2 linked regions of the Rattus norvegicus genome follow. The protein of the gene in region 2 purifies or fractionates together with the protein of the main gene of each other region. This does not show direct contact. Links are inferred from orthologs where the notes say so. Each region holds a gene or a part of one and is shown on either strand. Other genes may lie near its edges.

Region 1 (11,882 bases), on a different chromosome or scaffold from region 2:
CTATCTCCTTCATTGACAGATTTTTCACTTGGATCTTTCTGCTTCTCCAAAGGTTTCTTGAGTCCATTTCTGAGCGTTTCCGACGGTGGCTGCCTGAATGCTCTCATGAACTGCTGTCTTTCTTCCATGCTGCACTTTGGTACTGAAGCCTCAGAGCTCCAAGCTTCCAGCACAGCCAGTTCCAATTGGCCCTCCTGGACCACAACATTAGATTTCCTTTTCTGAACTGTCTGCTCATTTTCTGGATCAGAGAAACTATTCTCCAGCTCAAGCTGTTTCTGTTTCAAGAAGATTGGGGGTATTTTCCTTTTCTTTTTAGGGGGAGTAGGATGAACTTGTGCAAGAACAGTAACTGTCTTAAGGTGTAGGTGTGGAGATGGTTCACAGCTTTCTGGTTCACCTTCAGAACCACTTTTGATAGCCTCGCTGGGCCCCGAAGGAACGCAGGCTGGTCCTGCCAGGTCAGGTATGTCTTCCACTTTAGCTGTCTTGTGACTTTTTAAAAATTCCTCATAGGAAACAGTAATTGTGCTCTCGTTTAAATCAGCTATTTTAGTCGCATGAGCCCTGGAGTCTACATGATGTGCAGTCCTGTTTTCATCAGTTAGGGAAGCTTTAGTCAGCCTGCTGTCTTTGCCACCTTCCCCTGGCAGACTTATTTCATCTGCTACGAGTACACTTTCAGACTGGTCCGTCCCCTGGCTATGCTTCCTTTTCCTCAATGTCTTTCCATCATTTTTTGTGGTGCCTTGTTTAGGATTTACTTTCTTAGAGTTTTTTTTGGAGGTCATAGTATTTGACTGGTTTCTGCTGTCTTCTTGAATACTTTCTGCAAGAGCTTCCACATGTTTCTTGTAAAGGAAAACAGAAGTACTGTTTTCCACAAAATCACTTAAACCACAGTCCTCCTTACTATCATCATTACTAATTTCAACTGGAGACTCATTCTCAATTTTGACATCATTCAGTTGATGGGATAAACTAACTCTCTTTCTTTTCTTCTTAGATTCTCTATTTGAGAACACTTCCAATGGTATCTTACAGTCTTTGCTGTTGCCAACAAGCAATGGGGGAGATGGCTTTAACTTGCACTCCTTTGTAGATTGTAGCTTCTCAGTTGTGGGTGAGGTCTTTCTAAAATAATGTAGAATATTATTGGGTTTCGATGGAGAGAAAACCTTGTCTTCAGTCTTCCCTATTGGTGATAAATATTTGGTAATTGTTTCGCAGGAAGAGCTGTCATCATCTTTTCTCCGCTTTCTGCATGGCTAGCAATTTAAGGGGGAAAAAGCCACAATTTATTTCAAGTAAAACAATATGAAATATGAGCTGTAAACACAGATTTAACAGTTTAAACTGGGTAGAAAAACTACAGAAGGCTACGTTGTGTATACATGTGAGGTGTGTGTGATACACTCCAGCATACATGTATGTGAGGATGCATGCAGAGGCTGGCAGAGAATGTCAGGTATCCTGTAATGTCACTTCAGCCTTATTCCCTTAAGACAAGTCCCTAATTACACCTGGAGCTAGGCTGGTGGCCAGCAGGTCTCAGCAACCCTCCTGGTTTTGCTTCCCCACAATCCCAGGGATAAAAGCCATACCTGACCTTTGCTAGGGATTTTAACTCAGGTCATTAAACTTGTACATGAAGTATTCTTGCCCACTAAGCTATCTCCTAGCAGAGAGGGCTACTTTTACAGATGTCTAGGAATTCGAGGCCAGCCTGGTCTACATAGCAAGCTCTAGGCCAGTAAATATAGTGAGTCTCTGGCTTTAAAAAAAAAAAGGGGGGGGGTTGGGGATTTAGCTCAGCGGTAGAGCGCTTGCCTAGCAAGCACAAGGCCCTGGGTTCGGTCCCCAGCTCCGAAAAAAAGAAAAAAAAAAAAAGCTTATATTCGAACAAAGCTAAACTCACAAGAAAACATAAATTCCTACTGTCTTCTATTTTATTTTACTTTATTTATTTCATTTATTTCTATACTTTTGAGACAGAACCCTTCTATGTATATCTGGCTGTCCTGAAATTCACTATATAGACCAGGCTGTCCTCAAACTTGGAGATCTGCCTCCCAAATGGTGAGACTAAAGGTTTACCTGTATTCACAACCTTAAAAGTGCACCATATACCTCACAGACGCCATAATACATAAAAGTATGTGGAAGCTAATGCAAGGTAGGGAACCTACCAACAACCCCTTCTGCTTTACTTTTTTGGTTAAAAATATACATATCATTCTAAGTATCTCTAAGAAATAGTAATTTACTTAAGAAGCCCTGGATGCTAAAATATTATTCTACTAGAACTCATGGTAAAAAGATAATCAAAGAACATTTGCCACGAGTCTACCATTTTAATTTTTACCATAATCCACTGCCTACCTCCTGCACTAGCCATCACCCTCACAGAATCAAGGTGGTTATGACACTAAGGATAGTCATGTTTATGTTAATCACTTTCAGTCAGCAATGATACTTGCACTCAGTCATGTTAAGCAGAGATTATCATGAGCCCAAGTATAGCTGATGATACTCAGCAAGACACTGGCTGCTAGGAGAGAGCATAAGGCTCAAAATAGGAAATCATGAACCCCAGGAGATACTATCAAAAACAAACGTCCTCTTCATCGTAGTAACTAAGGTTGGGGAGAATAACTGCCTAGGCATGTACACAACCCCAGATTTGATGCCCACCAGGCATGGTGGACACCTGCAGTCCCAGCACTGAGGAGATAGCCTTAGGAGGATCAGAAGGTCAAGGTGAACTTAGTGAGTTTGAGGCCGGGCTACATGATATACTATTTGGGGGAAAATGAAGAAAGCCCCAAAACCCTCATGTCATAATATGGATCAACACATACATTCAATGCTGTTCTCTGTGGCTCTAGAGCAAAACTGGTGAATACTGAATCTGACTAGGGCTCATCGAGCTGCTGGTTCACTAACAACAGTGATCCCATTTTTTTTTTCTTTTTTCTTTTTTCTTCAGAGCTGGGGACCGAACCCAGGGCCTTGCGCTTGCTACCACTGAGCTAAATCCCCAACCCCTCCCATTTTTGATTGTACATGTATCTTACAAAGGTTTAATGGGTTTACAGGTGATATGAATTGTGAAACATGTGGGGTAGCACAGGGAAAATTAACTTGCCTTATTTCCTGTGGTCTACATTTGTTTTCTTGACTATGTGTAAATGGTATGAATCAGCCTTGCTACTACACTAAGAAAATATCTTACTGTTCTGAATTTACCAGATTAGAATTTCTAAGCCGGTTCTTAGAAGGACATTATTTCTCATTTCATTTCTATGTGTACTGTAGGCTTAAGTATAAACAAAGGCGGGCATGGTGACTCATTTCTATAGTCCTGGTACCCTGGAAGGTGAGGCAGGAGGACTACAATGAACCTAGGTTGTACTCCTGGATTACAGGATGAGAGCTCAAACAAGTCTAAATAATATACTTATAAAGACCTGTAAACCTGGTCTAGAAATTCACTAAATTAAGCAAATATGTTGTGGTGGTGGTTCGAATAAGAATGGCTCCCATAGGCTCATATATTGAATTATTGGTTTTTGGGGTTTTTGTTGTTGTTGTTTTGTTCTTTGAGACAGTTTCTCTGTGTAGCCCCAGCTGTCCTGGAACTCTCCGTAGACCAGGTTGGCCTCAAATTAAGAGATTCACTGGCCTTCTCATCCCACAAGTTGTCCTCTGATCTTCATACATATGCTGACCCCTGCACACACAATAAATTAAATGTAACAAAATAATTTTATGGGGTAAAAAGAATTTGTAAGGGGTAAAAATAACACTCAAAATAACGGGCAGGGGTAAGAAAGGATAGTGGGACAAACAGACCATTTAGACAAATGAGGTTAAAATTAAATATGTTGAAATAATAAGTGAATTAAAATGAATTATTATCATCTATAAAGCTTTGAGACGGTATCAGAGGCACCACACGACAGACACTCATGTAGGATCTAAGTTCAAGTACCAGCCGACATCTACTGGTATGGAAATCTTAAGCAAATTACTTTTTTAAAAAAATATATACTCAAGTTAATAAAGATTATATATATGTATATATACATATATACACATATGTATACACACATATATATGTATACATATAAGATATACATATATATATATCTTGATCAACTAGGTGTGAATGATGCATGCCTGTGATCCCAGAACAAGCAAGCTAAGGTAGGTAGATGATGAATTTGAGATCAGCCTGGCCGTGCTACACAGTAAATAATGTAAGTATTCTGTAGTTGAAAAAAGTTACTTGATTATAAAAATTATCAGAATCTGAGCTGGAGAGATGGCTCAGAGGTTAAGAGCACTGACTGCTCTTCCAGAGGTCCTGGGTTCAATTCCTAGCAACCACATGGTGGCTCACAACCATCTGTAATGAGATCTGTTGCCCTCTTCTGGTGTGTCTGAAGACGGCTACAGTGTACTCATATAAATAAACGAATCTTTAAAAGTCAGAATGTAAGTGAATACACATCTTAACTCACTTTAAGGGCACCAGAACACATCAAATGCTAGCCCGAGCTATAGTGTATAAACCATAGCAGCTATGAAGAGGCACAAGCCTGTAATGGTGACAGGAGAAAAAGTAGGTCAGGGATGTACTTTAAGATCCTAAAAATTACTTCTAAATGGCATAGAATATCGTTATGGTTGCTTAGTGTGTTTTTCTTTCTTTCTCAGAATCCCAGGGCTTCCTACCTTAAGCACTGTCCTAGTTTTGAGTATTCTCTAAAACGTGGTAAATACTGAACACCTAACATGCCACAGAGACTCTTAACCACATTACATTAAGTTCTGCAGTCACAAGAAACTGTCATAAGTTTCTTACTTGATTCCATTAAGTGACATTCTAAATGGAATTCCTAGGACAGGTATATTTATATTTGTAGGGAATAGCTGAACTTAAAGCTTCATCTTTTTCGCCGTTCTGTAACCCGACATCATCACGAACAAAGAAAGTGGCCCTGAAATCCTTGGTGACATGCTATTCCAAACGAACGTTTCAGGACCTGGGAACTGTGATTTTTCAAATTCTGACTTAACAGCGAGCCCGAAAATATCTTAAAATTCCAACGCTTTTGAAAGAGCTTTAAAAGTCACACCGAGGCAACTATCCCACATACAATTTTAACTGTAGGTCATCGTGTTCCTCCTTTCTCGTCCCAGAAGCAAGGACTCCCGCCAGCCCCATACCACAATTCCCAAACACGGGCAGAAAGGAACTTGACAGATACCTCAATCTCGCAGTCCTTAACAGGAGGGGGTGCTGCAGCCGCCGCCATGGTCAGGACCCCCACCATGATCCCTGCCACCTAGAACCCGAGCTCCTAGGACCTCCAGCGGTCCGGCTCAACCTGGCTGGAGGCCATAGGGGCGGCAAGTCCAGTGGGAGCTGGCTGCGAACCGCGGAGCCCGTTTCGGGTCTCTTAGAGACCACCGGCCGGAGCCGAGTGTGAGGTTGGGCCCAGGGTGGTCGAGCCAGGCTCAGACAGAGATGTCGGGAAAGCCCGGGCACAGGCCCCAAGGAGGCGGCCGGACAATACACAATGCCTCCCCAGCCTGATGCTCCAGGCTAAGAGCTCGAGCCCCAGGCCGCACTGGAAGCCGCACACCGAACGCAGGTCAAACAGTGGGGCTTCGGCGGGAGTTCTTGTCAATTGGGTTTTCGCGCCGTCCGGCACGCAAGGGGCGGAGCCTACGACCGCTATTGGAGGCTGCGCAGACGGTGAGCCGCGAAGGCCAAACTACTTCTTTTGGCGAATCTGCGCGCTATAGCACCAGTTCTAGCTTAGAAATCTAGTTGAATTTTAGGGATTCGCATTTCGATGTTACAGTTTGACAATTGAAAACGTGTTTTGTCTAAGGTTACCTAATCATTTGGTGGCCCAACTAAAACTTAGACTTTAGCCATTCTTAAATTATGTTTTTGAAGCCAGGAAGTGTTTGTGAATTGGGGATGAAGAAGCATATATCTCTAAGTTTGAGGCCAGCCTACACAGAAAGTTCCACTTCAGCCAAGAGACTCTGTCTTATAGATAGATGATTAGATAGATAGATAGATAGATAGATAGATAGATAGATAGATAGATGGATGGATGGATGGATGGATGGATGGATGGATAGATAGATAGATAGATAGATAGATAGATAGATAGATAGATAGAAGTTAAAAAGAGGGGTTGGGGATTTAGCTCAGTGGTGGAACGCTTGCCTAGCAAGCTCAAGGCCCTGGGTTCGGGCCTCAGCTCCGGAAAAAAAAAAAAAGAAGAAGTTAAAAAGAGCTAGAGGAGCCAGGCAACAGTGGCACATTCACTCCATTAATTCCAGCACTCTGGAGTTACCAGAGGAGACAGGCAGATCTCGGAGTTCGAGACTAGCCTGGTATACAGAGAGAATTCCAGGGCAGTCAGGGCTACACAGAAAAACCCTATCTAGAAAAACCTAAAAAAGGATAAAAAGAGGTAGTCGAAAAACACCTCATGCTGACCTCTATACACTGCATGTATGTACACCTTCACTAACACACAGGAACATATTATACATATCACATACACAAATACATTTTTTGTGGGTTTGTTGTTTTGTTGTTGTTGTTGTTTCGAGACAGGGTTCCTCTATGTAGTCCTGGAACTCACACTATATTAATATTTTTTAATTTTTGAAAATATTTATTTCATTTTATGCGAATGAGTGTTTTGCCTACATGTATGTGTATATATACCATGTGTGTGCCGATAATTGTGGAGAAGACATTGAATTCCCTGGAGTTCCAGGCAGTTATGAGCTACCATTGTAGGTGTTGGAAAACAAACCGAGGTCTTCTGCAAGAGCAACAAGGCCCTTTAGAGCTGAGTCATCTCTCAGCCCTCAGATGTGGAAGACATGTGCTGTACTACTGAGCTATATTCCCAGCCCACAATTTAGCCATTATAAACAGTACTTGTAAAAGCCTGCTACAGTGGTTAAAGACTTAAGTGCTCCATAACACCATCTATGATAGTACCTTTCCTTTTACCAGATAGGCTAATAAACACGCTACGGCATAACCATACAATGGATCCTTCTCAAGAATAAAAAGAAATGAGGGACAAGGAGGTAGAGTACCTACTGTTGATGAGGGGATGGAATCAATCCTGAGCACTCCCAAAAAGTAAAACTAAATAAAAAGCCAAGCATGGGGCAGGGGGTTACAGAGATGGCTGAGCAGTTAAGAGCTCTGGCTCCTTTTAGAGGACCCAGGTTCTTTTAGCAGCACCCACATGGTGGCACACAATTGTCCACATCTCCAGCTCTGAGAGATCCATCACTTTCTTCTGGTCTCTGTGGCACCAGGCAAACACACAGCGAAGAGACATATATGCAGCTAAAACATTCACCTATATAAGATAAAAACAAATAATCTTTAAAAACAAAAACAGAGACGGGAGAGATGGCTCAGCGGTTAAGAGCCCTGGCTACTCTTCCAGAGGTCCTGAGTTCAAATCCCAGCAACCACATGGTGGCTCACAACCATCTGTAATGGAATCTGAAGCCCTCTTCTGTTGTGTCTGAAGACAGAACACTCATGTACATAAACAAACAAATATATTAAAACAAAATAAAGGAAAACAAACAAAAGCCAAGAAACAAGTAAGGGGCTCCCGGAGAGATGACTCAGCCAGTGGATAAGAGTGCACACTGCGGGGTTTGGGATTTAGCTCAGTGGTAAAGCGCTTGCCTAGCAAGCACAAGGCCCTGGGTTCGGTCCCCAGCTCCAAAAAAAAAAAGAAAAAAGAAAAAAGAAAAGAAAAAAAGAAAAGAAAAGAAAAGGAGTAAAAGAGTGCACACTGCTCCTGCAGACAACCTAAGTTTGGTTGCCAGCACCTAAGTCAGGTAGCTTAAAACAACCCTTAATTCCAGCTCCGGGAGATCTGGTGCCCGGTTCTGAATTTCACAGGTATTCACACACACACACACACACACACACACACACACACACACACACACACACACACACACAACTATACACATAATTTAAAGAGAAATAAAGGGCTAGAGAGATGGCTCAGTGGTTAAGCGCTCCGACTGCTCTTCCAGAGGTCCTGAGTTCAATTCCCAGCAACCACGTGGTGGCTCACAACCATCTGTAATGGGATCTGATGCCCTCTTCTGGTGTGTCTGAAGACAGCTACAGCGTACTTACATATAATAAATAAAATAAATTTTAAAAAAAGAAAAAAAGAGAAATAAGAATAAGAGCAAATAAGTAAACTGTCACTGTTGTGGAGAAGCGTCACAGTGGCTCAGAGAGCTTGAGGCACAATCATGAAAACTGGAGTTTCCATCCTGGCACCTATGGAACGACCTGGGCATTGTGTGTATGGCTGGAATGCCAACTCTGAGACCAGCAGAGACAGGAGGACAATGGTGCCTGGCCTCCAGCCTAACTGAGAAACCCTGAGTCCAGGCAGGTTCATGGCTACTCACAACCATGGGTAACTCCAGGCCTAAGAGTTCTGATGCTCTTTTCTGACTTCCATAGGCACTGCATGAGTGGGGTGCGCAAACGTGCATGCAGGAAAAAGATGCCTATATGCCTATATATATACATATATATACATATATATATGTGTATATACACACACACACACACACACACACACACACACATATATAAACACATTTGTCTGGAGTTAACTGGATATACTGGCATACACCTGTAATCATAGCACTTAGGAAGTAGAGATGAAAGTTCAGAAGTTCAAGATTATTCTTCACTGCACAGTATGTTTAAAGCTAGCCTGGGCTACTTGAAACCCTATCTCAAAACAAAAACACAAGCAAAACACAAACAAAACATTATATCTGGGCTCTTCTAACCTGAATTCCTCAGGCATCTTCAGATGGTAGTTAGCCCAGTGGTTCCTCGCTGCAGATTAAGCTGCAGCTTCCTTCTGTTGACACGGGCACTTACACCTCTTTCATCTACCTCCCAATTTCCAACCATTTCCAGGCCCCGCTGGTAGTCTTTTGTGCCCCTTCATTTGCCAGTGTTTCTCCTGTTCCTTATTCTAACATTAAGTTACTTTACTATTATTTAACAGATTTTTGGAAAGAAAAGAAGAAAAAGACAGACAGCCAACCCCAAAAGGAGCACAAGATCTAGCTTTGGGGTTACTTTCTCTAAGGAAACCTCTGTACGTCTACTTTGCCTTGGTCAAAATCCTGTGGTTTAAATTTAAGGTTTCTGAGCTTCCATTGTACCTGATGCATTAGGTTACACATTTCCACTTAGGTATGTGCTGTCACGGCTGGACTGTGAAAGCAAGCAGAGGGCCCTTACTGTTTTTGTTCCCAGTTGCTTTTTTAAAATTTATTTATTTATTTATTATATATGAATACACCGTAGCTGTCTTCAAACATACCAGAAGAGGACATAAGATCTCATTACAGATGGTTGTAGTTGCTGGGAATTGAACTCAGGACTTCTGGAAGAGCTCTCAGTGCCCTTAACCACTGAGCCATCTCTCCAGCCCCCCAGTTGCTCTTTAAATATTCTGTATATGAGTGTGTGCTGTGTGTGCTTTTGCACAGCCATATAATCCAGCCTTTACAAGTAAGCACCTTGATATTTTCTTTCCTGATGATCAGTTTAAAGGAGAAGCTAAAGCTTAGAGATGTTTACTTTCAGTGGTTGGCTTTCTGTTTGTTTTTGGTTTTTTTGTGGCAAGGTCTTTGTAGCCCTGGCTGTCCTGAAAGTTGCTCTGTAGATCAGTATACATCCCCCTGCCTCTGACTCCTGAGTGTGGGAATTAAAGGTGTGTGCCACCATGACCAGCTATTTAAATTCTTTTTTTTTTCTTTTCTTTTTTTTTTTTTTTGGGGGGGGGGGAGCTGGGGACCGAACCCAGGGCCTTGAGCTTGCTAGGCAAGCGTTCTACCACTGAGCTAAATCCCCAACCCCTATTTAAATTCTTTAAAAGACTTTTTTTGTTACAATTCTTTTGGGGGGGTGGGTGCTCAAAACAGGGTTTCTCCAGGTAGCCCTGGCTGTCCTGGAACTCACTCTGTAGGCCAGGCTGGCCTCGAACTCACGGAGATCCACTTACTTCCTGAATGCGGCGATGAAAGGCATGCACCACCATCAATCAGGCTGTTATTCTTAATTATGTGTGGGAGTGTGTGTCTGTGTGTGATATATGCAAATGTCTGAGAAGGTCAGGGGCATCAGATTCCTCTGCCAGTAACAAGGGGGTTGGGAGCCACCCTACATGGGCACTGGGAAACAAACCCAGTTCCTCTGCAAGAGCAGTATGCACTTTGAACTGCTGAGCCAACTCTGAAGTTCCTGTTTTTCTTTTTTTTCTTTTTTTCTTTTCTTTCTTTCTTTTTTTTTTTTTTTTTTTTTTTTTTTTTGTGCAGTGCTAGGGTGGGGACATGTCAAACCAAACAGAGGGCCTTGCACATCCTAGGCAAGTACTGTCACCAAACTGTTCCTGTGCTCTGAGATACTAAAACTTACAGTGCTCTTTCTCTTGTCAAAGTCCCCACTCTTTATAATCCTTTGGTTGTCCCACTTACTTGGGGAAGGCTAATTCCATCCCTTCCTCTGGCTACTCCTAATCTGTGCCCTGTTCCATGGCTAGCTGGCATCTGCTCTTGCAGCTCCTGGACACTCTTCCTCTCTTGTCCCTCTAGCCACAAGACAATTCACTCTTTAAAAATTTACTCTGTAGGGTAATAATAATATAGCAGGGCCTGCCAGGCGTGGTGGCGCATACCTTTAGACTCTGCGGACACAGGGCAATCTCTGAAAGCATGGCCACTCTGGTCTACATAGTGAGTTGCAGGACAGCCAATGTTATTATGGAGGGAAGAAGAAAAGGAGGGAGGAAGAGAGAAAAAAGAGACAACAGATAGACAGAGAGACTCTGCCTCACAAACAAACAAACAAAAGCAGGGCCCAAGAGTGGGTAAGTGTGCTTGCTGACAAGACTGATAGCCTGGATTCAGTTCCTTGGACCCTTGGACTCACATGGTGGAAAGAGAAAAACTGACTTCTGCAAGTTTTCCTCTGATTTCCACACATGATATGTATACACAGAATGCATACATACACACATAAATACAAAACAAACAGATAAATAAATGTAAAATAAAATTTTAAAGTTCAAATAGCAAAGCATTCTCTAATCTCATGCCTGTGTAGAGGAGTTTTTCAAGATTTCATTCAGTTGCCTTTTTTTCACCTTCCTTCCTTTCTTTCCTTTCTTTCTTTCTTTCTTTCTTTCTTTCTTTCTTTCTTTCTTTCTCTCTTTCTTTCTTTCCTTCTTTCTTTCTGTGTGGGTATGTAGTGAGGATATTCTACATACAAATTTTTGCCTTCCATCCCTATATTACGAAAATAGGGGCTGGAGAGATGGCTTAGTGGTTAAGGGTACTGGCTGCTCTTCCAGAGAAGATTGCGGTTCAATTCCCAGCAACCACATGTCAGTTCACAGGTGTCTGTGACTACAGTTCTGGGAGAATCTGACACCTTCACACAGATGTGATTGCAGATAAAACACCAGTGCGCATAAAATAAATTCTTAAAGAAATTAAAAGAAGAAAAGGAAGAAAGGAAGAAAATAAAACAATGTTGGGCAGATGGCAACTCACACCTGTAACCTCAAGAGGCAGTGGCAGGAAGACTTCCTGAAGTTCAAGACCAGCCTGGTCTACATATTAAGTGCTGGGTTAGCCAAGGTTATAAGACATAGAGAAAAAATTCCAAACACAAACATTTAAGTAGCCCTGGTTTTTACCAAGTTTATTGCCACAGGCCTACTATTTTCTTGGACCTTTTGATTAAATTTTCCCTT
Region 2 (11,881 bases):
TGGCTGCTGTGACCGCCGCTGCCAATCCAAAGTTCACCGGTATCCTGGCTAAGAGCTGGGGTACGCTTGCCTAGCGAGCGCAAGGCCCTGGGTTCGGTCCCCAGCTCCGAAAAAAAAAAAAAAAAAAGAGCTGGGGTATGGAGATCAGACTCTTGGTTAGATGTCATTGTGCCCCCAATGCCAGGAGAGCAACTTCTTACTGTATCCGCGACGAGAGGCCAAGGTGAGAGCTTGAGTTTCTTGCACCAATTGAGTTCCAAGTGACGCTCTGGACTGACCATTCTTGGCTCGGTTGAGGAGATAGATTCCTAACCCCATCACAAATGACCACACCCTACAAACCCATTATAGACAGGGAGATTCATAGGGTGAAACAGTCTATTGGGGTCCATGTATGCGGTAAACACAGGCTATTCAGAACGCTGTCCCGGCCACGGGAACAGCCTAATAGATGTCAGCTAGAATCGTCCATCCATCTATTTGGCCCTTCAACCGTTGTTGAGTGCTCCCTTTGAGTCAGACCATGTTACAGGCACCAGGTACGTGGTGGTCAGTAATACAGCACCTCCCTCAGTGAGCTACAGTCCACATCCGGGCACACACAGATGATGTCATCAACAGCCAACTACAACAGCATCCAAACAAATTCTTTGTTTTGGGGGGGTGGGGTGTTGTTCGTTTTTTGTTTTTCAGGACAAGTTTTCTCTGGTAGCCCTGGCTGTCCTGGAACTCACTGTGTAGACTGAGCTGGCCTGGAACTCAAGGACCCACCTACCTCTGCCTCCCAAGGGCTGGGATTAAAGGCGTGTGCCACTATTGCACCAAACAAATTCTTTGTACCAAGCACCCTACTCCGGTGTTTGAGGACCCACCCATTAGATGTTGTGAGAACAAAGAGAGGTAGGGCTGGGCATGGTGGCCCATGCCTCTGTTCCCAGCTTGTTTCTGGAGAGTAACAAGACCAGAGGGCCACTGCTCCTTAAATCAGAACAGGAGCGTGGCTACAGGTTAGGACAAAGGTAATTTCATCCTGACCAGAATGTTCCTGGTTTGCATTTGCTAGGGAGTCCAAGGGTAAAGACAGATACGATTCTATTATTTTTGTCTGCTTAGGGTTTACAGGACAACCCAGCCAGAGGTTATCCTGATGTTCTGGTCCCAAATGGCTGCTGACATGTGATACCGTGTCCATAAAAGCCTGAACAGCAGGTGCATTTGAACTTTTATTAGAAAGTGTCCTTTCAGGCTGGAGAGATGGCTCGGTGGTTAAGAGCACTGACTGCTCTTCCAGAGGTCCTGAGTTCAATTCCCAGCAACCACATGGTGGCTCACAATTATCTGTAATGGGATCTGATGCCCTCTTCTGCTGTGTCTGAAGACTTTTTTTTTTTTAAGTGTCCTAAAAAAAAATAAAATAAAATAAGAAAAGAGTCCTTTCCGTGTGTGTGTGTGTGTGTGTGTGTGTGTGTGTGTGTGCATGTGCTTGTGTGTAGATGTTCACTTGAATGCAGGTGCATACATACGTGTGCATGCACATGTGTGTGGAGACCAGAGGTCAACTCTGGTGTCATTCCTCAGAATCTATGCACCTTGGGTTAGAGACAGGGTCTCAGACTGCCTTGGGGCTTGTCCACTAGGTTAATGCTGGCTGTTGTCCTGTCTCTGGCTTCATCATTAGGATTAGAAGCACACACCACCACTCCTGCCTTTTTTTTTTTTAAAGATTTATTTATTATGTATGAGTACACTGAAGCTGTCTTCAGACACATCAGAAGAGGGCATCGGATCTCATTCCAGAAGGTTGTGAGCCACCATGTGGTTGCTGGGAATTGAACTCAGGACTTTGGGAAGAGCAGTCACCGCTAAGCCATCTCTCCAGCCCCACTCCTGCCTTTTTATGTGGGTTCTTGGAATCAGACTCAGGCCCTCAAGTTTGCACAGCAAACGCTTTACTGAGAAACATCCCAGTCCCGAGAATTGGTTCTAGTCTCATCTGACTCTGCCAGCTCAAGGAGGGGACAGTACCTTGCAAAGGGTTATTAGCAGTTTGAATTTAAACATGGGGGCCAAAAGACATGCCCAGGCGGCATACACTGCCAACTGTCTTAGCTACTTTCCTATTGCTCTAGGAGACACCATGACTAAGACAACTTATAGAAGGAAGAATTGATTGGGAGCTTAGCTCTCAGAGGGCTGGTTGTCATAATACAGAGTGTGGCAGCAGACAGGCATGGTGCCAGAGCAGGCTTTGGGAAGGATTAGAAGGTGTGGTGTAGGCATACAGTTTCTTGCAACCTACTTTAAATAAGGGTTCGACCTCTCCTTTAGCCCACCACCCAGCAAAGACAGTAAAAGAAAACTTAGTAGGATGTGGGGGAAGTGGACCCGTTCAGCCATAGTTCCTTGGGGTGTTTCCCATAGCAGTTACCAAATAGGACCCAGAGGCTGCAGACCAATCCTCTAGGCAGGTAGACACCAGGCACAAACCAGCAGCAGCTGTATTTCAGTCCTGAAGAAACAGAAAGGCTCGCCAACCGGCCTGAGGTGAGGCGGCTGAAGCAGCAAGCTGCCTCAGGAGCCTCACGAGCGAGTTTCTCAGGATGGCAGCGTTACCATAAGTTGAGCTCAACAACCCCTATGTAGGGCGAGCCAATACATACGTGTCTGTGTGTCGTTAACGAAGGACAGTGAGGCTGAGCAAACCAATCCAAAGTTCAGTGCTCGTCTCCCAGTGTCTGCGGGGTCAAATTTATGCCTCTTAATCATGGATCCTTTCACCGTGTTTGCTGTATCCAAACATCCTCTCACCTGTGTCTGTATCAGCAAAACATTCTTTCACGTGCCTGCTTGAGCGAGACACCCTTCCACCTGTGTGCCCCAGCAAAACATCATTTAACATAACTACCTTTCCAAAGAAACCAGAAGTTTCCACTTCAGTGTGGCCATGTTGGCGGAGGTGTGTGGTGGGACGTGGGCTTTGAGGTTGCAAAAGCTCACATCATTCATTCCCAGTTAGCTTGCTCTCCCCGACCCCCACTCATGGTTGGTGTCTCAAATGCAAGCTCTCAGCTTCTGCCTGCTGCCATGGGGTCACCCTCTGAAAACTGTAAACAAGCCCCCATGTTGATAACCAGCCCTCTGAGAGCTAAGCTCCCGATAAATTTTTTCTTCTATAAGTTGTCTTAGTCGTGGTGTCTCCTAGCGCAATAGGAAAGTATTGAGACATTTGGCAGTATATGCCGCATGGGGCATGTCTCATGCTTTCTTACGATAGTTGACTTGGCATGGTTTTTCTTTGTAGCAATGGAAAAGGAAGATAACCACGCCTCTTCATCCTTCCCAAACAGTCCCACCAACTGGGGACAAGGTATTGGAATTGATGAGTCTATAGGGGCCTTTCTCATTGAAACCGCCACACCAACCCTTGAAGTTTTCTTTCTTTTTTTAAAGATTTATTTCTTATGTATACAGTGTTCTGCCTGCATGTACACCTGCATGCCAGAAGGTGGCGCCAGATACCATTACAGATGGTTGTGAGCCATCTTGTGGGTGCTGGGAATTGAACTCAGGACCTCTGGAAAAGCAGCCAGTGCTCTTAACCCCTGAACTGTCTCTCTAGTCCGAAGTTTTCTTTGAGATGAAAAAAATACAGAAGAAGGAAAAGGTGGGCAGGGAGGGAGTGTGGCGCGTTCCCCCAATGTGTTAGCTCTGTCGCTGTGTTGAGTCCTTGCAGCCATCCCTGAGTAGATATTGGTGGAGTGCGCTGTGGCACTGGGTCTGGTGCTTGCTAGAGAGAAGGTATCATCGAAATTGTCCCTGAACCAAGTAAGGGAAGTGACTTGTTAATGATCTGAGGAGCCAGTATTCATTCAAGTTAGCCTACAGGGGGAGCATCCCTGGAGCAACACCCGATCCCTGCAGGAGAGTGACGCTCCTTCCTTCCATGATGGTATCAGAAAGGATTTAACCAGCAGGGTGAGGGTTTTCCCACAGCTGCACAGGTAGACACCTCTCTCCTAGTCTTTCTTATTTTGTCTTTTTTTTTTTTTTCTTTTTTAACCCGGAGCTGAAGAACCAGGGCCTTGCGCTTGCTAGGCAAGCGCTCTACCACTGAGCTAAATCCCCTCTCCTAGTCTTTCTTAGTCTGAATACTCTGGTGCCCCCTACCCGCTCTGCTCTCCAGTCAAGCCATGTGCAGTTACGGCAGAGCTGCACACGATAAATTGTAGGAAGCCACTGGATACTCAGGTACGGGTCTTCCATGAGGGGATGCAAACGGCCAAAACGTCCTGCTGGGGTAATTCTTTTGTAAGTGGACACAGCTGAACTCCACAAGATGGCGGCTGCTTGGCTCTAAGGGTAGTTAAGTACACCAAGAGGCTGGCCATGAACTGGATAGGTAGTCAAGGGTGACCTTGCCATTCAAGCGGCCATGCTTGACTGCTAAGTTCTGTTCCCAGGAGCCACACATAAAAAAGACCCACTCCTGACAATTGTTTTTTTGGCCTCTACTGTGGATCATGGCACACACAAATTAATTAAAATTAATTTTCTTTTGATTTATTTGAAGTCAGGGTCTCTCTCTATTGCTCTAGTTGTCCTAGAACCCACTCTCTAGGCCTTAAACTCACAGAGATCCACCTGCCTCTGCTTCCCAAGTACTAGAATTGAAGGTGAACCTGGATCAAAGTAAAACTTAAAGAGGAAAATAAGGGCTGGAGAGATGGTTCAGCGGTTAAGAGCACCGACTGCTCTTCCAGAGGTCCTGAGTTCAATTCCCAGCAACCACATGGTGGCTTATAACCATCTTAATGGGAAGTGATGCCCTCTTCTGGTGTGTCTGAAGACAGCTACACTGTACTCAGATATATTTTTTTCTTTTTTCTTTTTCTTTTTTCTTTTTTTCGGAGCTGGGGACCAAACCCAGGGCCTTGCGCTTGCTAGGCAAGCGCTCTACCACTGAGCTAAATCCCCAACCCCTGTAGTCAGATATATTAAATAAATAAATCTTTAAAAAAAAAAAAGAGGAAAATAAAATTGGTCGCCAGGTAAGTGGAGCTCTCTTTTAATCCCAGCACTTGGGATGTAGAAGTGCAGGTGGATCTCTGAGTTTGAGGCTTGCCTGATCTACAGAGCGAGTTCCAGGGCAGCCAAAACTACAGAGAGAAACCCTGTCTCAAAAATAAATACATATAAATAAATAAATAAATAAATAAATAAATAAAAAATTGGTCTGTGATCCTCTCACTGTAGGAGAAAGTGTGTGTGTGTGTGTGTGTGTGTGTATAAAACAGAGATGTCTGTGTGTATATTTATGAATGTGTTATATGTATACATGTATGTGTCTATATGTAACTGTGTGTACTTATGTGTATATGTCTGAATATGTTCTGTGTGTAGATATGTATTATACATGTGTATGATGTGAGTATATATGTATGCGTGTGTATGTGTGCATATCAACTGTGTATTTGTGTATACATATGTGTATATGTGTGAGTGCAAACGTATATGTTTGTATGTAAGTGTGTGAGTGTCCGCGAATGGGAATGTATGTAGATGTATATCTGTATATGTAACTGTGTGTGTGACTGTGTGTGCGTGTTGCTGGTTATGGAACCAAGGGTGCGCTGACCACACCCCAGCCTCAGAAGTGTTTCTGGCTCCGGAACTCGCTGCCCCTTTGCGGCTTGCCCCTTGCGCTGGCAGGATCCGGTCCTGGTGAGGCCTGTGGTAAGTCTAGCTGTAGTGTGCTGCGTCTCTAGTCTTCCTGAAAGCCTAAGACTGCCGGCTCAGGCCCTAACCTGGCTGCAGGCCCGCGACTCCGGTTACCTAGCAACCAGCACCTTAGCAACCGGGAGGAGGCGGGGCTGGGGCCGGAAGCCGGAAGCCGGAAGCCGGAAGCCGGAGGCGAAGACTCGCGAGGGTTGGTTTGCGCGCGGACTCCGAGTCCAGTGGTTCGGTGGCCGGTCCCTGCAGCATCTGTCAGTCATGGCGGCGGCGCCTTCGCAGCAGCAGCCCCGGGCGGCCCGGGCCCGGAACCTGCCCTGGTAGGAGCGGCCCCGCATCCTGCTTCCCTCCCTTCTTCCTAGGAGCTTTGCATGTCCCCCTCCCGCTCCCGGCCGGATACCTAGCCTTTGCGCCGCAAGCCGCCCCTCCGCTTCCAAACCGAACTGTCTGTGATCTTATGCCTGAGTTCAGCTCAGCCATCCTCAAGTGCCTCGAGCATCGCCATTGCGCTCTGATGACCCTAACAGATGGATCCTGGGTTTCTTTAGAATGGTTCAGAGACCGGAGGAGTGGGTAGGCTAGGATTCGAACTCGTGTTCGAATTCAGCGCTTGCATTCTCTCCCTCTTATTTGCGGGGGAAGGGACCGTAGCAGCGCACCTTTGTGGCGGTGAGGATAACTTGCAGGACCCAGTTCTTTCCTTTTACTGGCATGGATTCCCGGGATCCACTCCAAGGCCCCAGAGTTTGCATACTGATAGACCTTACAGCAGTTTAGCGGTGTTTTAAACAAAGCCTGCCCAGCCATGCTTTCTTTTCAGTTTTTCTGGTCTCTACTGAGGAGGAAGAATTGCCTTGGATCACACGTTAAATTCTCAGGAGTGGAGTTACAGACGGTGTGGTCTTTTGAGTGTGACTTCTGGAACTCAGGGTTGTTCTTTTCGGTAGCATGGTTCAGCACTCAGTTCCCGCTTGAAAGCCAAATCCCAAGTGTATTGCCCTTCACTTGCTTGTGGGTATTTGAGTATGAGTCGATGCCTAACTGAAGCTGTGCAGTCTCAGCGCTGTTGTCTTGGGGGCGGGGGCACTGTTGGTGTGGAGCAACAGGGAGCTGTCTTGCCCACTGGAGGATGTTCAGCAACCTCCTGACCTCTCCTCAAAAGAGGCCACTAAGACCCTCTGCAGTTATTACAGCTAACCGGCCTGACAGATGTCTCGTGGTAACTGAACAGCTCTTGGTTGTGAGTGCCACTGACTCTGTTCAGACGTGAAGGGTTTCTCTTCCTCTGCTGCTAGGACGTGAAGGGCTTCTTTGCATGTAACAGAACCCATGACTCTTGGCGTATAAACTGTAACGCATGGTGAATCCTTTTTCAGGGTTGAGAAGTACCGGCCACAGACTCTGGCCGATCTCATATCTCACCAGGACATCCTGAGTACCAGTGAGTACCTGTGTCTGCTGCTGTTGTTGTCCTGGCGGGAGGGTTTGGGTCCATTTCGTGAAGACGCTGTCCCTGCTGGATGACACTTAAGGATGGACTGTGCTTTATAGAATGGGCTGTGTGTTTCCTTCTCCATAGTGCACCAAAATATCTAAGAGGACACATTTTTAAAGATTGGTTTGTTTGTTTTGGTTTTTTTTTTTTTTTTTTTTGGTTCTTTTTTTCGGAGCTGGGGACCGAACCCAGGGCCTTGCGCTTCCTAGGCAAGCGCTCTACCACTGAGCTAAATCCCCAACCCCGATTGGTTTGTTTTTATTGTAAGTGTGTGCTCCATGTGTGCCTGGTTTCTTCAGAGGCCAGGTGAGGGCCCAGGATCCTCTGGAACTGGAGTTGTAGGCTATTGTGAGCTGCCCTGTAGGTGCTAGGAACCAAAACCAGGTCCTCTGCAAGAGCACCCGGCTTAGCTGAGGCACCTTGTCAACTCCCCCATCCCCAAGACGACAACAGAGAGGAGAGATGACTGACTTTGCCTTATGGGTTCAGAGGTTCTGGTCCACCGTGCTTGGCTCTGTTGACTCTAGACCCTTGGTGAGCACAACTTCATGGCAGTGGGGGCATTCTGCTCCATAGTAGACAGGAAGTAGAGAGCTAAGCGGGGGTAGGGGTGAAGGTGGGGAATGGAGGTCAGTATGAACCTCAAACGCATGTGTTTGGTGGCCTGATTCCTCCAATGAGGCTGTGCCTCTAAACCAGTGATTCTCAACCTTCCTAAAGATGTGACCCTTTTAATGCAGTTCCTTGTGTTGTGGTGACTCCCCAACCATAAAATTATTTCATTGCTACTTAATAAATGGAATTCTGCTATTTACTGTTATAAATTGTAAATGTTTGATATGCAGGATATGTGTGTGATATGTAGCTCCTAAAAGGGTCAAGACTCACAGGTTGAGAACCATTGCTCTCAACTTTCTAGACCCTCCTGAGATAGAGAGACAGACAGACAAACCGTGGTCTGACTCCAGGACATTCCCTCCCTGTCTGCTCTGACTGGGTCACTGAAGAACTGAAGCACGTCTGGATGTAGCTTAAACAGGTGCTAAGGTGAGCATGCAGGACCCAGAGACTGACGTGTGTCATTGCTTCTTCCTGTCCTGCAGTTCAGAAGTTCATCAGTGAAGACCGCTTGCCACACCTACTTCTCTATGGCCCTCCAGGCACAGGAAAGACATCCACCATTCTGGCCTGTGCCAAGCAACTGTACAAAGATAAAGAATTCGGCTCCATGGTCTTGGAGGTGAGGAGACACTCTCACTCCACAAAAGCTCAGACCTTCGGACACTCACCTTTGGTCCTTTTTCACTCCCTGACCTGGTTGGGTTTGGCGAGTGGGATCTTGTGTGTGTGTGTGTGTGTGTGTGTGTGTGTTGGGGATGGGAGAGGGTGGTTTGGGGGGTGTCAATCGACACCAGCCCCAGGGGTCAAGACCCACAGGTTGAGAACCACTGCTCTACAAACACCTTTAAAAATGTCTCTTCATCTGGATCTTCTCAGATTACTGCACTGAGACATGCCATCTGTGGATTGTTGGGGCCTTGGCTGACAACTTTAATACCCTTAGGTTACAGAAACCTAATCGTGGTATTTGAAAGAAAAGCATTTGAGGGACTGGGGATGTAAGTCATGCACAAGGTCCTGGGTTTGATCCCAGCATAACAAACAGGTTGTGTACCTATAATCCCAGCACACAGGAGTTGGAGGCAGGAGGGTCAGAAGTTTACGGTCAACTTAGGCTATGTGAGTTCAAGGCCAACTCAAAGACAAAAGACCCTCAATCAAGAGGAAGGCATTTGACTTAGGCAGTAGATCTGAGGCTCAACCCCTTGCTGGCCACTCTTCTTTCTCCAGCTTTTTCAAAGCACAGCAGCCTCCAGGCAGTGAGGGCTTAAATTAGCATCAGTGGCTGGTGGCAGATTTCCTGGTTCAGGGTTTTATTTCCTGTATTTATGTGGATGCTCCTTGGAGGAGGAGGACTGTGCCTTTTAGGATGATGTGTGATGGCACGTGAGGCTGAGTCCAGGGCATTCGTTTTTGATGACTGTATCTTAGCTGTCATTAGATCTGAATGGCTGGATGACACTGGCTGCCACACAGTGTGATTGTGACGGCATCCTCTCTTCCTTGTGCAGCTGAATGCTTCCGACGACCGAGGGATCGATATTGTCCGGGGGCCAATCCTCAGCTTTGCCAGCACAAGGACAATCTTCAAGTGAGAATTATTTGTAGAATTTCTCTCCCCGCAGTTAGTGCAGGGCTGGGACACAGCTTCACTGTTTGGGCCCCCCTTGGCTGGTGTGAAAGGGAAGAAGGGGCGACTTGGTCAGAAGCAGGGACCAGTTCAGTGGCTGGAGAGGTGGAAATGCTTGAAGATTCCAAGAGCCTTTGGCTCCACATGGGTCCTTAGCTGGACAATCACATCCAATGCTGGATGAGCTGGTCTGAACTTAAACAGGGATAAGTGATCAGGAAGTATGACTTACATGGTGGTCAGTTAGGCAAGGAAGAGGGTGATGAGACGGTTCAGTAGGCTAAAGCACTTGCTACCCAGTCTGATGACCCCGAGTTCGATTCCTAGGACCCACATGGGAAAAGGGAGAACTGATTCCCTCAAGTCATCCTATGACCTCCATATTTGTGGTGTGACGTGATACTTACATACTCTCTCTCACACATGCGCACACAGTGCTAAATAGGCTTGGGTGTGTGCATAGCCATGGGATGTTTGTGCATGGCCTACTCACATCCCTGGGTTTCAGTCCTGCCCCACAAGCGAGCAGCTGACACAGGATACGGTGGGTAAGGAAGGCTAACACCTCAGGGTGGAATTAGCTGTCACTTCTAAAGGATGAAAGCGTGATTGGCAAGCGTGAATGCCTCAGCTATCAGCCTACATCGGGATCTGAGAAGGATGGACTTGGGGTAGCCTGAGTGTGAAGATGGAGATTCAGCCTGGTGTGGAAGGAAGCTGAGGACACCTCCACATGCCTTTGTTCTCCTAGGAGAGGGTTTAAGCTTGTGATCCTGGACGAAGCTGACGCCATGACTCAAGATGCCCAGAATGCCTTGAGACGAGGTGAGATTTGCTGCCCCATCTGAACTGAGTGAACTGAGGCCGGGAATTCTGGGTACATGTGACCTTTCCATCAGGAGGCACCATTTAGTCCAGTGATTCAGACAAGACTGCCCTGTAGGTAGGTCCCCTTCAGCACCCTCAAGATGGGTGGCCTCTGTCATTCAGTGGAAATAAGGCTTAAATCCCTTATCCACTGGCAGATCCTCTGTCTTTGGTAAAAGCTAACACCAGGAAAGACTGAGTGCAGGGGTGACCATGGTATGGGGTGAGTCCTGTGTTTTCCTGTGGAGTAGGGCTGGTGCCATCCTGTTGAAGACCCGTTGTGTGCAGCTCCTGCTAACACTGCTGGGAGGGAAGAACAGCTTCAGGAGCCTGGAAAAATGAGACCTGGGAGAGGGGAGCAGGATGTGTTCTGGTTCTAGCGTGTTGGCACCCTTCCTTCAGCATCTTGTTCTGCTGAGTGACTCGGTGTGGGCAGATCTGTGTGGGGACACTGGTCTCTCCGTGCTGCTGGCTCTTGCTCCCTGAATGCTCCTAGACTTTCAGACATGGGCTGCAGGGAAGTGTGCAGAGTCAGCTCAGACAAGGTGGGTCTCAACAACCTCAGACAGCATCTTGTACAGAGGGATGGGAGCTCTTGGACGGGGGGCCAGATCTTGAGGAAGAGTGCTAGAATTGTGGAGGTGATAAAAAGGTGCATTTGTGCGCTCTGATGGTGCGTGTCCTAGCTGTGCAAGTTGGGCGTGCTGACTCACACTGGACCGAGTCCACGCACTCCAGAGATGGGGGCAGGTGGGTCACCTGGAGTCTGAGCCCAGCGTGAGCTCCATATACACTGAGAGCTACACAGGATGGGGGCTGAGCTGAACTGTTGCTCATGTCCCATAATACCCTCTACCCCCACAGGCCACGTTCTCACTCTCAGTATCCTTAAGCTTCCCTGGGTCCTCTTATGTGAAGTGTTTGGTTTCTCTCCCAGTGATTGAGAAGTTCACTGAAAACACCAGGTTTTGCCTCATCTGTAACTACCTGTCCAAGATCATCCCTGCCTTGCAGTCACGGTGCACGAGGTTCCGATTTGGCCCTCTGACGCCTGAGCTCATGGTTCCTCGGCTAGAACATGTGGTACAAGAAGAGAAGTGAGTTTGTTTTAGAAGAAGGAAGAGGGGAGGTGTGGGGATTTGAGTGGCAGGGAGGTTGGGCAGAGTGGCTAATCGGAGGGAGTGTTGGCTACTGCCATCTCCTGTGGGCCCTGGATAGTCTGTCTCCTGAACCCTTGGTTCCACACCTACATTCCTGCAGGCTGTTCCCTCTGTTTTGTCTTGGGAACTGACTGTTGCTGAGTCCCTTTTTGCAGATGCTGCCAGCTGGCTGGAAGGGAAGGCTCTGCTCTGAGATCCACTCTGGGCCGTCAGATACCGAGCAGTGGCCTCTTCCCAGAAATGTCTCTTTCAGCAGCCACCTCCTTAAAGCCTTGGTCCATAGTAAAGCTCTGGCTGGATCCAGCTACTCATGTGACACACGTCCCTAAGCACTGCAGTAACTCAGATGTTCAGGAGAGTCCTGTCACCTCCGTTTTG

Evidence for each region.
Region 1: the proteins of Rfc5 (region 2) and Atad5 purify together in Homo sapiens (affinity purification with mass spectrometry; 4 studies listed by BioGRID and IntAct, counting the BioPlex papers as one, with this or other methods). This does not show direct contact. The link is inferred for Rattus norvegicus from reciprocal best matches to the Homo sapiens genes RFC5 and ATAD5.

Annotation. Positions count from the first base shown.
Region 1 is NC_086028.1:65,562,434-65,574,315, reverse strand, and holds the start of Atad5 (ATPase family AAA domain-containing protein 5), read right to left. Parts: upstream 5,747-11,882; 5' UTR 5,343-5,746; coding exon 5,277-5,342; intron 1,269-5,276; coding exon 1-1,268. UniProt on the Homo sapiens protein: Has an important role in DNA replication and in maintaining genome integrity during replication stress.
Region 2 is NC_086030.1:44,862,412-44,874,292, forward strand, and holds the start of Rfc5 (replication factor C subunit 5), read left to right. Parts: upstream 1-5,910; 5' UTR 5,911-5,991; coding exon 5,992-6,050; intron 6,051-7,106; coding exon 7,107-7,171; intron 7,172-8,328; coding exon 8,329-8,465; intron 8,466-9,357; coding exon 9,358-9,437; intron 9,438-10,227; coding exon 10,228-10,301; intron 10,302-11,280; coding exon 11,281-11,440; intron 11,441-11,881. UniProt on the Homo sapiens protein: Subunit of the replication factor C (RFC) complex which acts during elongation of primed DNA templates by DNA polymerases delta and epsilon, and is necessary for ATP-dependent loading of proliferating cell nuclear antigen (PCNA) onto primed DNA.